Linked DNA regions of Lytechinus pictus. The main gene of each other region encodes a partner of the protein of the gene in region 2 in a complex. Links are inferred from orthologs where the notes say so. Each region holds a gene or a part of one and is shown on either strand. Other genes may lie near its edges.

Evidence for each region.
Region 1: the proteins of probable inactive tRNA-specific adenosine deaminase-like protein 3 (region 2) and tRNA-specific adenosine deaminase 2-like are in contact, whole or in part, in a crystal structure (PDB 9HMM), measured with the Mus musculus proteins. The link is inferred for Lytechinus pictus from reciprocal best matches to the Homo sapiens genes ADAT3 and ADAT2. Residues at the interface, in NP_001094076.1 of Mus musculus: Val217, Ala218, Pro220, Leu221, His223, Ile229, Asp230, Ala233, Gln236, Gly237, Glu270, Ser272, Pro274, Val276, Val290, Met291, Met294, Ala295, His298, Ala299, Pro311, Asp312, Leu318, Phe319, Val321, Arg324, Asp326, Leu327, Asn328, Pro349; in NP_080024.3 of Mus musculus: Val62, Asn63, Lys66, Asn67, Ala68, Thr69, His71, Met74, Ile77, Leu81, His85, Pro91, Cys107, Ile108, Met109, Ala112, Ala113, Leu116, Met117, Arg130, Phe131, Val137, Leu138, Ile140, Asp144, Leu145, Pro146, Asn147, Thr148.

Annotation. Positions count from the first base shown.
Region 1 is NC_087245.1:1,542,424-1,550,480, forward strand, and holds the start of tRNA-specific adenosine deaminase 2-like, read right to left. Parts: upstream 3,074-8,057; 5' UTR 2,707-3,073; exon of another isoform or gene 2,672-2,706; intron 704-2,671; 5' UTR 701-703; coding exon 644-700; intron 444-643; coding exon 339-443; intron 1-338. Other genes in the region: integrator complex subunit 9-like, read left to right, coding at 3,215-3,223. UniProt on the Homo sapiens protein: Probably participates in deamination of adenosine-34 to inosine in many tRNAs.
Region 2 is NC_087251.1:23,066,396-23,073,499, reverse strand, and holds the start of probable inactive tRNA-specific adenosine deaminase-like protein 3, read left to right. Parts: upstream 1-3,891; 5' UTR 3,892-4,120; coding exon 4,121-4,259; intron 4,260-7,104.

The DNA.
Region 1 (8,057 bases), on a different chromosome or scaffold from region 2:
CCCAGACTTTGTGGTTCAAAGTCGGGAGACTTATCCAAACTGAGTCACATTATCTCTGAGACCTGATATGAGACCTGGAGTGTATCAATCATGGGAATTCTTATCTGAGTTTCAGCAGGGACGCCCTGGTTTCAGCTACAATGATGGACTTTTCATGTCAATATATGGATAGGATGTGGTAGTACTGCTTACTAATAAATTAAGATTCAAACTTTGCACCCTGAGGTGCAGACTGCAAGAGGTGCAAAATGACATCAATAATATAGTGCTCTGATCCCTTAGTACAAAGTTTTATCTTTTCTGCAGCTTCAAAGTGTGTAATAAGCAGTATAACTTACATTTTTGGTTTGGTTGACAGCATTTCCTCCTGTCCCTATGATCTGATCATTATACACAAGGAGACAACCTACTGGGACCTCTCCTCTACTTAGGGCCTGCTTACCCTGCACAAAAGAAAACATATCTTAATTTCTCATAGGGAACTGACCATTGTTCACTACAAAACATTTTGCTACATCTATTACAAGCAATCTAAAGAGTAGACATGGTAGTTAGGGTTTCTGAGTGTTATTAACATCACTAACAGAACTTTTTAAAAATATGTAACCATTCATTTTCAGTCCCATAGTAATTGGATACAAACCATGCACACTGCTTGCTTCATCCATTTTTCATCATAAGCTTCGTCATACAGTTCCATGGTCTGTAATAAAAAAAGATGATAATTTAAATTGTTTCTTTTCATCTACAAGTTAAATATCAATATTATTTTACTAATATTATTGAACTTTGAAGCTCAGTAGAGGCATACGGCCAATGTTGGAGACTCTCTCCCATTCTGGAGATTATATCCTGTACATCAGTATTCAATTTAAAGGGATGGTCCGGGCTGAAAATATTTATATATCTAAATAAAAAGAGTAAAATTCACAGAGCAAAATGCTGAAAATAAGATTAAAATTGGAAAACAAATAATGAAGTTATTGAATTTTAAAGTTTATCCATATTTTGTGAAAACAGTTATACGCACATCGTCATGAATATTCATTTGGTGGGCTGATTATGTCACATCCCCACTTTCCTTTTTCTTATGTTATTACATGAAATCATAAATGTTTCATTTTTTCATACATGTGTAAATGATATTTCTGCATTATGAAATAAGTTGCGGCAATAAATAACTAATGCACTTAATCAGTTGTCAATTCAATTGTTTTAGTTTTTGGTAGAAAAAATTTGAATAAACCAAATTTCATATATAATAAAATACAAACGAACAAGTGGGGATATGACATCATCAGCCCACCTAATGAATATTCATAAAGACATGCCTATAACTGTTTCACCGGAATAATGCAAATCTTTAAAATTCAATAGTTTTGTTATTTGTTATCCGATTTTGATAAAATTGTCAGCATTTTGCTCTGTGAATATTACTCTACTTTATCGAGATATATTTCCAGCCAGGACCATCCCTTTAAGAGCCAGTCTCCACTATGCAAGATTTTTTCTGTTTAACATTTGCGTCAGAGGGATTACCATGGTGGCAAAATTACTCCTCTTAACCATATATGCTCAAGAATTCTCCATCTACTTTTGTTTTCATTTATATTTTGTTATCATGTGGTTTTGACCTAGCTGCAAATTTTGGAGGGGAATTAACTTTCTAGTTCAGTGTTGTTGCCTATCTCTTTTGCAAAGCATGTCTCCAATATCAGAGATTGTCTCCAAAATTGGAGAAAGACTCAAATATCAGCCATGCGCCTCTACTGCTCATATTTCTTCAAAAGGTTAACCAGACACAGTTCGAATCATTTGCAAGAGGAAATCTTAAAATAAATGTTAAGGACTTTGAGTTTGATGTCTCTTTCTGTATCCAGTGTAGATCTAGGCCTAATGTTAGACATGCTAGATGCCTGGCTAGTGTCTAGACTTAGACCAAAAGCTTCGGTCTCTGTTAATGTTATGTTGGTTGTTCCGCTGAACTCGTTGGCTCCACTCACCAAATACAGAGACCGAAGTTCTAGCTCAATCTGTACAGGGACTCGATGGCCATATGTTTATGTATTAAGTTCGGATAAAACTGGGAAATGAAGTTGCGCGACAGCCAAAGTAAGTCACTGTGTTTCCCCCTTTGAAGTTTTTTCCCCATTTTGGTGCATTTCAGGCCAAAACAGAATAATATAATAATCTTTATTTTGGTACAGTTCTTTTTATATATTTTTATGAAATAAAGACAAAAATCGATGAGCCCCGTCGGGGGGATTTTGCATTGTTAACCCCTAGGGCCTATGCGTGGCTGCACGATAGCGAGCCTAGCCTGGACTCTGGTCCTGGAGGCTAGTTTTCTGGGGAGTAAAAGTCATCTACTATACGGAAGTCGTAGGCTTACTCCAGCCTACGTATAGTAGATGACTTTTACTCCCCAGAAGCCTCCACTCCAGTCCAGGCTAAGCGAGCCGTCTGTGTACGAGGAGACATTAAAAAAAAAATGTTAAAAAACTCCTCGAAACAGATGCCTGCCAGCTCAGCAGCTGTCTAGTCTAGACTATACTAGACACTAGTGGCAAGGCATGGATGCTGATCGAGAGATTGAGCTGAGCCTGACTGAGATTTCACAATTAGTGAAACCTCGGCTCAATCTCTCGATCATCCTTGCCTTGCCACTTACCTTAATCCAAAATTAAAAGTTTACCCTCCTCGCACCTATCAAGTATCATGCCTATCTGTCACTCTTGAGTCTTGGCGTCTTGCTGCTGACGTAACGACCCACTGCCTCAGATCAGGCTCAGATACCGGTAAATCTGATTAAAAATACTCGTTAAGAGAATCTCCAACTGGTACATGTAATGTACCGTAGTCAATAACCAACCCGCGGACAACCGCTGATAAGTACATGACATGAGGTGCATATGGCGTCTGGTTGACCGGCCGCGGCAACAGTACCTGGTACAGGCGCAGGCGCGGTTTAAGTACGGTACCGGTACCTGTACCTAGCGTTACCCGGGCCGGGGGCGCGGGCGAGGGATCCCCCGCAACCACACTCGTCTCGCGATCGATCGCGCCCGTCCTTAATTTCTTCCGTATTTTATTATCGCGAGGATACCGTACCATACCATCTGAACGGTATACCCATCTGAACTGAGCTGAGGCGAGCAAAAGAAAACACTGCAAGAATATCCTGCATTTTATATAAGAAGCCGGAATAGCCAGAATGAAATTGGTAAGAAAACCTATCCGACCTCCTGCCGTTATGTTATTGTTGAAGTGTGTGTTTGTGTGTCTATTAGTTACAGCCAATTAATGATCAGTCAGCTATCAATCATTCACACAAACAACAACATGAATGCTAGCATGTGGGGCTATGTTAATCCAGCAGATTCAAAGGTTCAGTGGATGATCCTGATAATTCATCATCATCATCATCATGTTACGAGGTGAGGTAATCCTGTTGACCTCGATCTCTTCATCTGAAAATTGCAGTCCATCTCCATACGATGTGTTATTACGTCATAAGTCATAAGAACAAAAACTTGCACACGTGTAGGGTAGAGACGGTTTTGATCATTTGGACTTGGAGATTGAAACGCTCAGACCACCAAAACTTATCGAGTCTTAATTTGAATACATCGATGGAGCCTGAGTCAAATAACTTCTTGGGGGAGGCTATTCCAGTCATTCACTACCCGGTTACTAGTAAAAACGCATTTGCGTATGTCGAGTCTTGATCGTTCTTTAAATATCTTTAACGTATGACCTCGAAGATGTGAATTATAGGGACAGTGATTTTCCGTTTCAAAAAATTGCCTTTTCCGTTTCAGAAAATCTCAAATTCCGTTTCAGCATGTCAGAAAACGTAAATTCTGTTTCCCCATAGACTTTGTACACACGGAAAAGTGACAATTCCGTTTACACATTGAATAGCAAAATCACAACACGTACACTCGCACTGGTCAAAATTTGTATCTGCTACTAGCCTGTACCAACAACACAATAGAATCTGTTCTAATCGGATCTATGCGGGTGCATAAAATATTTTTACAAACCCATTTAGCATGCATACATCCTCACCTTTCACATCATTAGCATTATTTCACGATGAAATGATATTTCATCGATAATTTTGGGGTTTTTTGGACATCGTTATCATCAGTAAACGGCTTTTGCCAATCCGCCATCTTGGATTTTAAGACCACGATATCGTGCTGTTACATCTTCTAAGGTAGAGGGCAGCAACACACAACCGTGTAGTTGAACGATATGTGTGCATGTGAAGCCCAACCCGGCCGGCCGGGCGCCGGGTACGGCTACGGTGCGGGGTACAATCGAGTGTGGTGATGTCGAGTGCAGTCACGACGTGTGAATTGTCATGATAGTAGCGAAGTGAGATCGTGTTTTCTGGGGTTTTGTGGCCATTTAATATTCTCATTTTGTTGTGATTTCGGAGTAATTTCTGTTGCTATTCTGTGTATTTTTAGGGAAAATACGTTTTCCGTGATTTTCCGTTTGAAATGCCACTTTCCGTTTCAAAAGGCCCTTTCCGTGAATTCCGTCCGTTTTCCGCGATCGCGGAAAATCACTGTCCCTAGAATTAGTTGATGGCAAGAAAAAGTGACTTGAGTCCATCTTGACCATTCCTTTCAGTATTTTAAATACCATAATGGCATCGCCTCTCCTTCTTCTATAATACAGGGAGTGTAAGTCCAATACTTTTAATCTATCTGAGTAGGGGAGTTCTTTTATCTCCTGCACCATCTTAGTTGCTCTTCTCTGGACTTTCTCAATTTTATCCGCATCTTCTTTCCATTGAGTGTTCCACAAGATGTTGCCATACTCTAGGTGTGGTCTTACCAATGTCTTAAACAAAATTGGTAGGGTCCTTGTGTCCAGTTGAGTGAAAGTCCGTCTGATGATACCAAGGAGCTGATAGGCTTTGCTTACTTCCATTGATATATGCTCATGAAATTTGAGTTCCGAGTCAATCAATACTCCCAGGTCCTTTTCTCTGGTAGATGAGGCAACTTCATCTCCATTCATGTGATATTTATCTTTCTTGTTATTTCTCCCAAAGTGAAGAACTGTACACTTATTCTGGTTGAAAGGAAGTTGCCATTTTTCAGCCCACATGGTAAGTTTGGACAGGTCTGCCTGTAAGGCCTTGGATTCTTCATCATTCCCTACTGCTCTGTACATCTTAGTATCATCCGCAAAGAGTAAGATCCTGGAGTTTATGTCACTAGGCAAATCATTAATAAAAATGACAAATAGGATTGGCCCGAGGATACTCCCTTGCGGTATACCACTCTTAACATCTGTCCAAGATGATGTCACTCCATTTATAGCCACTCTTTGCTTTCTGCCTTTCAGGAAGGCACTAATCCAGGCAAGAAGAGGGTTCTCAATTCCATAAGCTTTCAGCTTCAATAAAAGTCTTTCATGAGGTACTGCATCAAAAGCCTTCTTAAAGTCTAGATATAAAACATCAATAGGTTGGCTATCGTCTAATATCCTAGTCCATTCTTCAATGACTTTGTTGAGTTGTGTAGGTAAATTGTTCACTGCTTGTATTAACTCTAGGCTTTCCAATTATTTGGAATGTGCAGGAATTTTAGGCAATGAGCAGGCAGGGTTTAGAGAAAGTCATAGTACCCTTGATCACATATTTACATTACATGGTTTGATCGATTTGTATCTACACGATGCGAAGAGAATTTACTGTGCCTTTATTGACTACAGAAAAGCCTTTGACCTTGTTGACAGATCTAGTCTCTGGTCGAAGTTGATTTCATGTGGTATCAATGGGAAGATTATTAGTGTTGTTTATAATATGTATGAAAATGCTAAATCATGCATAAAGTATGGATATAACATTTCTGATTTCTTTACCTGTAATATCGGAGTGCGTCAGGGTGAAAATTTATCTCCTTTGCTCTTTGCAGTTTTTCTTAATGATTTTGAATATTTTGTTAGTCGGTATTATAAAGGCTTAAATATGTGCTCTTCTCTAATAAGGGACTACCTGAGCAATGATGATGTGGAAGTTTTCTTACGACTATATGTTTTATTATATGCTGACGATACAATAATATTGGCTGAGTCGGCTCAAGAACTTCAGTCTGCTCTGTCGGCTGTTCATCAATATTGTGAGCAGTGGAAACTTTCTGTTAATACAAGCAAGACTAAAGTTGTGATTTTCTCACGTGGAAAGGTTCGTAAATATCCAGAGTTTTTGTTTGGGGATACTGCTCTTGACGTCGTAGAGGATTATATTTATTTAGGTACCACTTTTAATTACAATGGCTCCTTCAAGAAAGCTATGAAAAAGCAAGTTAATCAGGCTAGGAGAGCAATGTTTAATCTTAAAAGTAAGGCCAATGTGTTGAGTTTGCCTTTGGACATTCAATGTGAATTGTTTGATCAGCTGGTGGTACCAATTTTGTTATATGGTAGTGAAATTTGGGGGTTTGGTGATGTAGATTGTATTGAAATGTTTCATAAGAAGTTTATAAAAAGCCTCCTTGGACTTAGTCGAGGGTCTGCGAATTGTATGGCATATGGCGAATTGGGAAGAGTCAGTCTGCTTTATATTATTGAAAAGCGTATGATAAATTTTTGGGCAAGGATTCGTCAAAGTGTAAATGGAAAATCTAAATTGTCAAGTATGATTTATAGGCTTTTGCGTCAACTTCATGATAGGGACCTTTATAAGTCACCATGGATAGTAAAAGTGAAAAACATTTTGGATAGATGTGGGATGTCTAACCTGTGGAGTGTTGAGAATATAGTCTTGGACGTTAAGTGGGTTAAGTCAACTGTGAGTCTCAGATTGGATGATATTGCTAAACAGGAATTGAATACTGAAATTAATAGAAACCGTTTGTGCATGAATTATAGGATATTCAAACAAGATTTTGGGTTTGAGAACTATTTAGTGAAATTAGATTTTGCAGATAGGATTGAACTCTGTAAATATCGTTGTGGAAATCATAGATTGCCAATTGCTAATGGTCGTTACCTGCCTAATCAAGGTTTGCAAACTTGTACTCTATGTGACTCGCATGAGCCAGGAGACGAGATTCATTATGTGTTTAATTGTCCTGCTTTTGAAAGTGAAAGGAAAGCTTTAATTAGAGGGTATTATTTTGTCAGACCAAACGTGATTAAAATGCACAAGTTGTTTAATATGCGAAATACAAAAGACTTGAAAAATCTGTCAAGATTTTGTAAATTCATTATGTCAAAATTTTAATATCTTAAGTGTAGTTGCTGTCTTGGTTACTTTCTTGTATTAGGGCATGATTTCAGATTTTGTTGGATTGCACCTGCACATGCTAAGTGGGGTACCGGTCTCCAGATACTCTCTGGCATGTCGGGAGTGGGTGGGTTAATTTGTGCCCGTTTCTATTTCTATTACTGCTCTTGTATTGTACATATGTTTATTATCATCATGTTTGATTCTTGTTACCTTGGTATTTTTTTCTTATGCCTATTATTGCCATTGTTGTAAGTTGTTATATTTCTTCTATGCCCCCAGGAGGGGCCGTCAAAGAAATAAAATCATTGTCATTGTCAGCCGGGCAAGGCAGGCGGCAAGGACGAGTCCAAGACGCCTAGCTTTGCTGTTGTTAGCGTTCGTGCAACCGCGCCGGCCGACTTCGTCTTCGATCTTCGAGCAAATTCCCCACCTGGCTGGGCCTTGGGCCCGTTTCCCAACACTGTCAGAAAGTCTAACTTCTTCTAAAGAACTAGGCATTGTCGCCTATACTTTTAGGCATTACATTGCAAAAGCCAAGGACAAGCAAGAAGGAATATTAGAAGAAAGGTTGATTTGAAGAAAGAATTAATTAGGAAAGAAAAGACCCCCAAGGCAAAACACTTGGATGTCTTTTTAAAGATAGTGCACATTACATACTTAATGTAATAAGGGTGTCAAAAACACTAAAATATTGAAAAAAGGGTATCTATTTTCGCTAGGAAAGCTACGTGTCGAGTGTTTAGGTCAAATTTGCGAGGGTCTAAAAATTAAGACTAAATTTTTTTGTAAAGGATGTACTTTT
Region 2 (7,104 bases):
CATAAAGCTGTTCGTAAGTTAAAAGCGACTTTAAGAACGACTGGTGAACCTTTCTTACGCTCTAAAAAGAAAGGATCACCAGTAGTTATTAAAGTCGCTCGATCTTAACTTACGATTAGCTTTATGAAACGGCCCCCTGAAAGCATAGAATTTTAAGCACTTTGGGGTTTCTGCTTCTCATCAGAGCATTCCCTACGGAGATTATGTGAGCGGGATCTGACATTTATTTACCAGGGGCGGATCCAGCTTTCGTTTATAGGAGGGGGGGGGGAGTGGAAGATATTTCATCTATATGTTTCCAGATCGGATATTCTAAGCACTTTTAGTAACCGTGAACATGATGGGTATCTAAACAATTTTTTATTGATGCGAGTGCGAAACTCGAGCTGAAAATTTTTGATATTCTGACCTCAAATTTGGAAAGTCTGTAAGCACTTTTGTTAATCAGGAAGGGGATGATATTTATGTCAAGAGCTGAAAATTTTTGAATTTCCGACCCAAACCTGGACATTCTAAGCACTTTTTGTAACCATGAACAGGAATGGATGCATCTTTATAAAATAATTGATGCGAGTGTGAAGCTCGAGCTGAAAAATATTGATATTCTGACCTAAAATTGACTTTCTATGCACTTTTGGTAATCATAAACAGGATGGACATCGAACTTTGCATTTGATACGAGCGCGAGCACCAAACTCACGTGAAACATGATTTTGGCGCCCCCGGTCAAACATGAGATTGGCGCCTGAATGGTCGAATATGAATTTGGTGCCCCACCCTATATAGGTTGAACATGAATTTGGCGCCTCAGGACAAACATCAAATTGACGCCCCAAAGGTCGAATATGAATTCGGCTTCCCTTCCTATATAGGTTGAACATGAATTTGGCGCCTCGGGACAAACATCAAATTGGTGCTCTTATATAGGCGCCCCTAGGTCGAACATCAATTTGGCGCCCCCTATGTCGAACATCAATGCGGCGCATCGAAGTAAAACATCAATTCGACGCGCCCCTAGGTCGAACATCAATTCGGCACCCCCCTAGGTTGAAGATCAATTTGGCGCCCATATGCCAAACTTCAATTCGGCGCAAGCCTATGTCGAACAGAACATCAATTCGGCGCCCCCTATGTCGAACTCCAATAAACATCAATTCGGCGCTCCTAGGTCGAACATCAATTCGGCACCCCCCTATATAGGTTGAAGATCAATTTGGCGCCCCTATGCCAAACTTCAATTCCGCGCCAGCCTATGTCGAACAGAACATCAATTCGGCGCCCCTTAGTAAAACATAAATTCGGCGCCCCCCCCCCCCCTAGGTAACACATCAAATCAGCGCCCCTTGGTAGAACATCAAATCGGCGCCCGCTATGTCAAACATAAATTCGGCGCCCCTTATGTCGAATATAAATTCGGCGCCCCCTATAACATCAAATCTACGCCACTAAGTCGAACATCAATTTGAGGCCCCCCCCATCCATTCGAATATCAATCCGGCACCCCTTTCCCTCTTTTCCCCATCTCTCTTTCTTTCCCTTTCTTTCTCTTTCTTTTCTTCTTTCCCTCCTTTTTTCACCCCTTTTGTTTTCTTCTCTTTTCTTCTTCTTTTTGGAGCCCCCTTTTTTGCCAACCCGGGAGGCCCGGGCCCCGAAAGCACCCCCAGAATACGCGAACGTGAAGCTTTTGCACTAGCTCTGTAAACGTGAAGAGTCACATATCCGGTCCGAGCAGTGCATGGGGGGATGATTGCAATATATTGACCTGAAAATTCAAAAAATTTGGGACACCCCCACACCAAGGGGGGATGTATACGGGGGTATTATAACCATGCATGTTCATAATACTACCATATTTCAGTTTAAGGCCTAAAACGATTTTTGGGCTATAAAGTAATGAATTGCAATTAAATGAATTGCAATTAATACCAATATGCGACCGAGCGAAGGGAGCCAGCAAATTTTCCGTAGTATAAGGGAGACAAAAGGGTGTCCAAAACCTCTTTTCAAGTGGTGTGTAATTATCACATCACGGGCAATGTATACGTATATACTGTAAATTCATATTATCATATTTCAGTTAAAGGCCTATCATGATTTTTTCCAATGGATTTATTGTAATGGATTTGTTGGAATATATAATGAATTACAGTAAATATCAATATGAGAGCGAGCGAAGCGAGGGAGAATTTTTTATGATAGTTGGAAGGCAGAATGATGAACAAAATCGTCTGTCAAGGGGTGTGCGATATAGTGGGAGAGATGCAACGAGTGAGCATAGAAGTAAATGGTAGGTAGTAAGTAGTAACTGTCCATATTTTGTTCAATGAAAACTCACTTGCTCACTGGTTAAAGATGAGATGAGAATGGATCATGAATCGGGAATAAGGGTACTTTATGATTATAGGTATTACAGGCAACAATATAAACTTCCAAAAAGGTGGAAATACCACAATCGTGCAAATCAAAAGAAACATATTGCAGAAAAAAAAGGTTTTGAATAGTTTTTAAGATTATATTTGGAGATGATGCAACATTGAAAAATTTGAATAAAATTAATATTTGAAATATTTATTAGATTGTTATGGAATTAATGTGATTTTAGGTCTCCAATAAACGGATGAAATTGTAAATATTTTTTAAATATCGGTGTCCTAACTTGCCTCTGTGTGACATTGATTTAGCCTATATTTTTGTCCAAAATCCCCCGCTTCCAAAAAGATGCTAGGATAGTAAAACTTCCCCCAACATTCACGCCAGTGTATTCAAAGGATTTTTGATTGGGTCATGATCAGCTATAACCATATTAAAAAAATAATTTGTATCATACAATTCATAAATGGACGTATGCATACTCTCATGCTATGCAGGGGATATAACATTTGCAATGTACTAAACGTAGGGATTTGTCATCGCCAAAATCTTGTAAGATTTTGTGTGTTTATTTGAAGGGGTATAGTCCTAACAGTCACTTTATAGCTTTATTAATTTAAAACTACATAAATATATTTTAGTCCTATTTAAATATTGCGAACGCGAAACGCGAGCAGAATTTTTTAAAATACGTTCTGGCCTGATCGAGAAGGGACCTGTTACGGACTGTTTGCAGTTAGCCATAAAGACGAGAAATATTTCAACTATGAAATTTATTCATTTTATTTATTTAGCAAAAATATTTATACAGGGTAACAGATCAGCTACCTTGCTGTTTACGTCAAAGTCCTGATTAAAAAAAATAAATAATGCTAGCGCACGAAGCGCGAGCTAAATTTTTTTGACATTCCGACCTTAAAAATTGACACAGCACTTTTTGTAATCATGAACAGGATATACAAATATGACTAAATATTGACGCCCGAGGCTGGGACCGAAGATTGACCCCTGGGGCACGCCACTCGTCACCATCCTCCATTTTTATGTCCAATTAAGGACTTCTCGATTTTGTCTTCTACCAGTTCAATCAGGCGCGAATCGAGAAATTTTACAACTAGGGTGCTACAGGATCCAGGATTTTTAAGGGGTGGCACATTCTACCCTTTGGAAATTTTACAAGCAAAAAAAAAAGGTTTTCACCTATATTTGTCAATTTGTCTCTCTTTTTATTTCTTTTAAAAAATCATACGGGGTATATCGCGCCTTCAGCCCCCCCCCCCCCGGATCGGCGCCTGGTTATGAAGCATTCTATCCAATTAAAAAACACAATTGTCAAAATGGGAGTGCACGAATAATGACGTGGACAGTTTTATTTGTTTTCATAATTATATTGAAAATGAAAGGGGAAAACGAATGACGGTATGCTATGTCCCACTAGCTACCGAAACAAAACACCCCCAAATATTTTGTGTCATGAATCCACCCATATCTTACATCGTAGTCTTTTTGTTCGTCATGTTCAGTTTTATGCACGCGCGTCAACCCCATATTGCTGCTTGCACGTAAAGCTCGAAGATCTCTACCTGAATGCGAGCCCAGCGCACCTTGGCCTACCCGATGACGCGACGCGTCCGGCCCGGCCGCGCCGGCGCCCCGCTGGCCGCGGCGTAGTATCCGTGCGATTACTCCTCGCAAAGATACCCTACGAGTAGCTAGCTGCTGCTTGTTATACTAATTACTAGTCAATGGTATGGAGGCCAACAATGGAGGCCCTGGATCGATTCGATCATCAGCAACGATTGCACATCATGATCATCATCATCCAATAATTAAGAAGAGAAGAGTGTGTGAATCCAAACTTAAGGTCGACGAATTCGAAGAAGGTACCGGTAAGGCGGTATGGATAATGGAACGATGAAGGGGGGTGGGGGGGGGGGTAGTCTGGAGCCTCCTGGAGAGTAAATATCAGGGGCCGATTTTCCGGGGGGGGGGGGGCACTCGACCAAAAACGTAGTGGGTATGTGCCGCGGGCGAGACAAAAAACGGGCGCCAATGTTTGTGTTTGGTTTGTTTGAAGCTACCATATGATTGTATAAATATTAGCCGGCATGTTCAGCCTAGGCCTTGTTGAATAAAGGTGTTCATTTTGCATCCCAATCTGATGTGGTAATTTCTCCCTTTTTATTGTCGTGGTGTCAGCGCTAGGTTCGTTCCCTGCCACATAGGAATTTTTAGGCCAAAACTGGGTCACGCATCGACAGTTTAGGACTATAGCTGTAGTGATTTTTGCAATTTGAACTGGCTGATTCATCCCTCCATCAGCGTTAGCGACACACAGGTAACGCTTTGATAATGATAGCCTCACGTATAGTACGATACGATGACGCAGTCAGCGGAAGCGCCCGCACAGTTGCGCAGGTTGAGTCGGTACGAGACTCCCGAATCCTTCCTAGAGTGGAAGCGTAGTTTAATGATGAATTTGTGTTCATATACTGATTTTTTGCCTTTTCTATCGGAGAGTATTTCATGGCAAAGGAAGTCGAAGGCAAATACCGTACGGGGTTTTGTTGACGATTCCTTTGACGTTGCTGGCGGTAAGACAGCCGCTCAGAAAGTTGTGGTTTTGGAACTCATGCTGGGGCAAATTTCAGCTTCTTGCCCGATTATCGCCAGAGGTTCTATTGTAAATAAGTCCACTTCACTTGCAGACATATGGGATCTTGTTTGCATACATTTTGGTTTCGACAGACAAATGCTAGCCAATGACAATTATCAATATCATGTCAGTCAAACTCAAAATCTTGATTGTTGTGAAGATGAGTTGAATGACAATGAATTGAGACATGATGCAGGACGTGAGAAAAATAATGTCAGTGAGTTGAGATGTGATGAAGGAAGTGATGAAAATAAACACGAAGACAACGTCAATGATAATGAGTTCAGATGTAATGATAGAATTAGAAGTGATCAAAATAAACATGAAGTCAATGTGTTCAGATGTGATGAAAATAAACTTGAAGACAATGTCAATGATAATGAGTTGAGATTCGTTGAAGGATGTGATGAAAATAAACACGAAGACAATGATATTGAGTTGAGATGTGATGAAGGAAGTGATGTAAATAAACATGAAGACAATGTCAATGATAATGAGTTGAGATGTGATGTAGGAAGTGATGAAAATAAACATGAAGACAATGTTAATGATGAGTTGAGATCTGATGATGGAAGTGATGAAAATAAACGTAAAGACAATGCCAAGGAGTTTAGCTTTGTACATGCAGACGAAGGTGGTATCCCCAGTCGTGATGTTGATGACATTGCTTTGCGAGAAGATGGAAGAAGTAGTCATGACGTGTTTCATTATGGTTGTAACATTGGAGTGACAGGTGATTGGAGTAGGCCTGTTCACACTAGCGATTCTTCGAGGTTTAGCGTTGAGTTAGATGGGTCTAGAGCTATATCGTCCGGAGATTTAGATTTAACCGACCTTGTAACACATTCTGTTAATCTTGATGGTTGCGCTGCTGAGTTGTCGGCAATGCATGTAGCTAATGATGATCATGGTTCTCACAATGATGTGGTATGTAATCCGGGTATTCCTACCGATGATGATTGTTTATCGGAGCCTGATCGTTTCCAAGGTCATGAACTCACTGTTGGACTGGGATGTGATCCCCCTTCACTTGATATGTTATCAGGCACTTGCACACTTGGTGCGAGTAAAGATCAGTTGAATTTCTGTGATGTTGTTGATAGCAATGTTCGCTATGTTGGTTCATCAGAGAGAGATGAAACGTGCAAAGACTTGTCAGTTATCCCTGGCAGTACTCCTGGTTTCCAGATTGTGCCAACTTCTACCTGCATTGACGGGGCTGATAGGCTCTTGCGCTCTGATACACTGTTCACTCATCACACGCCCGAACAGTGCATGCACCATTCACATACAGGCACTCGTTTTCGATTCACACATTCGAACGATAGGCTAGCCGTTCTCGATCTCGCTATCGGCCAAACTAACAATACCTCTGTTCGGTTCGCATGTTCGAATGATAGAATAGCCGTTCTCGATCTCGCTCTCGGCCAAACTAACAATACCTCCGTTCGGTTCGCATGTTCGAATGATAGAATAGCCGTTCTCGATCTCGCTATCGGCCAAACTAACAATACCTCCGTTCGGTTCGCATGTACGAATGATAGAATAGCCGGTCTCGCTATCAGCCAAGCGAGCAGTACCTCCGTTGACATGACAACACATCAACTGCGCCTGTATATGCTCGAGCCATCGTCTCACATTCAGTTATCTCCAGTTAACCCAACTAGAGCCATTGATCCAGGTGCTGATCGGAAGTTCACCATGGACTGCTTTGAGCAAAGTACCATCCCTGATCTACGTCAGGATCCACCACATTCTCTTCAGCTTGAGGATGCCCTGGTCCCCCAAGGACACCCCCCAGATGTCCATATTTACCAACATGGTGTTGTTCACTCCAGCTCTTTTGTGGTTGATGCCATAGCCACCACTGTCCAGGATGAGGAATTCCAATGTCCTCTAGACCGATACCATGATGACTCCACCTACCAGCCTGTGAGGGATACCGCCTCTGATGTGATCCCCAGCCTGGGTACAGTTCTTATGAGTACCAACATCTCGGTTCCCATGGGTCGACCCCCCGACGTCCAACGTGTTCGCGATGTCTCCACTTCATGTACCAGTGGAACTGCCCGAGATTG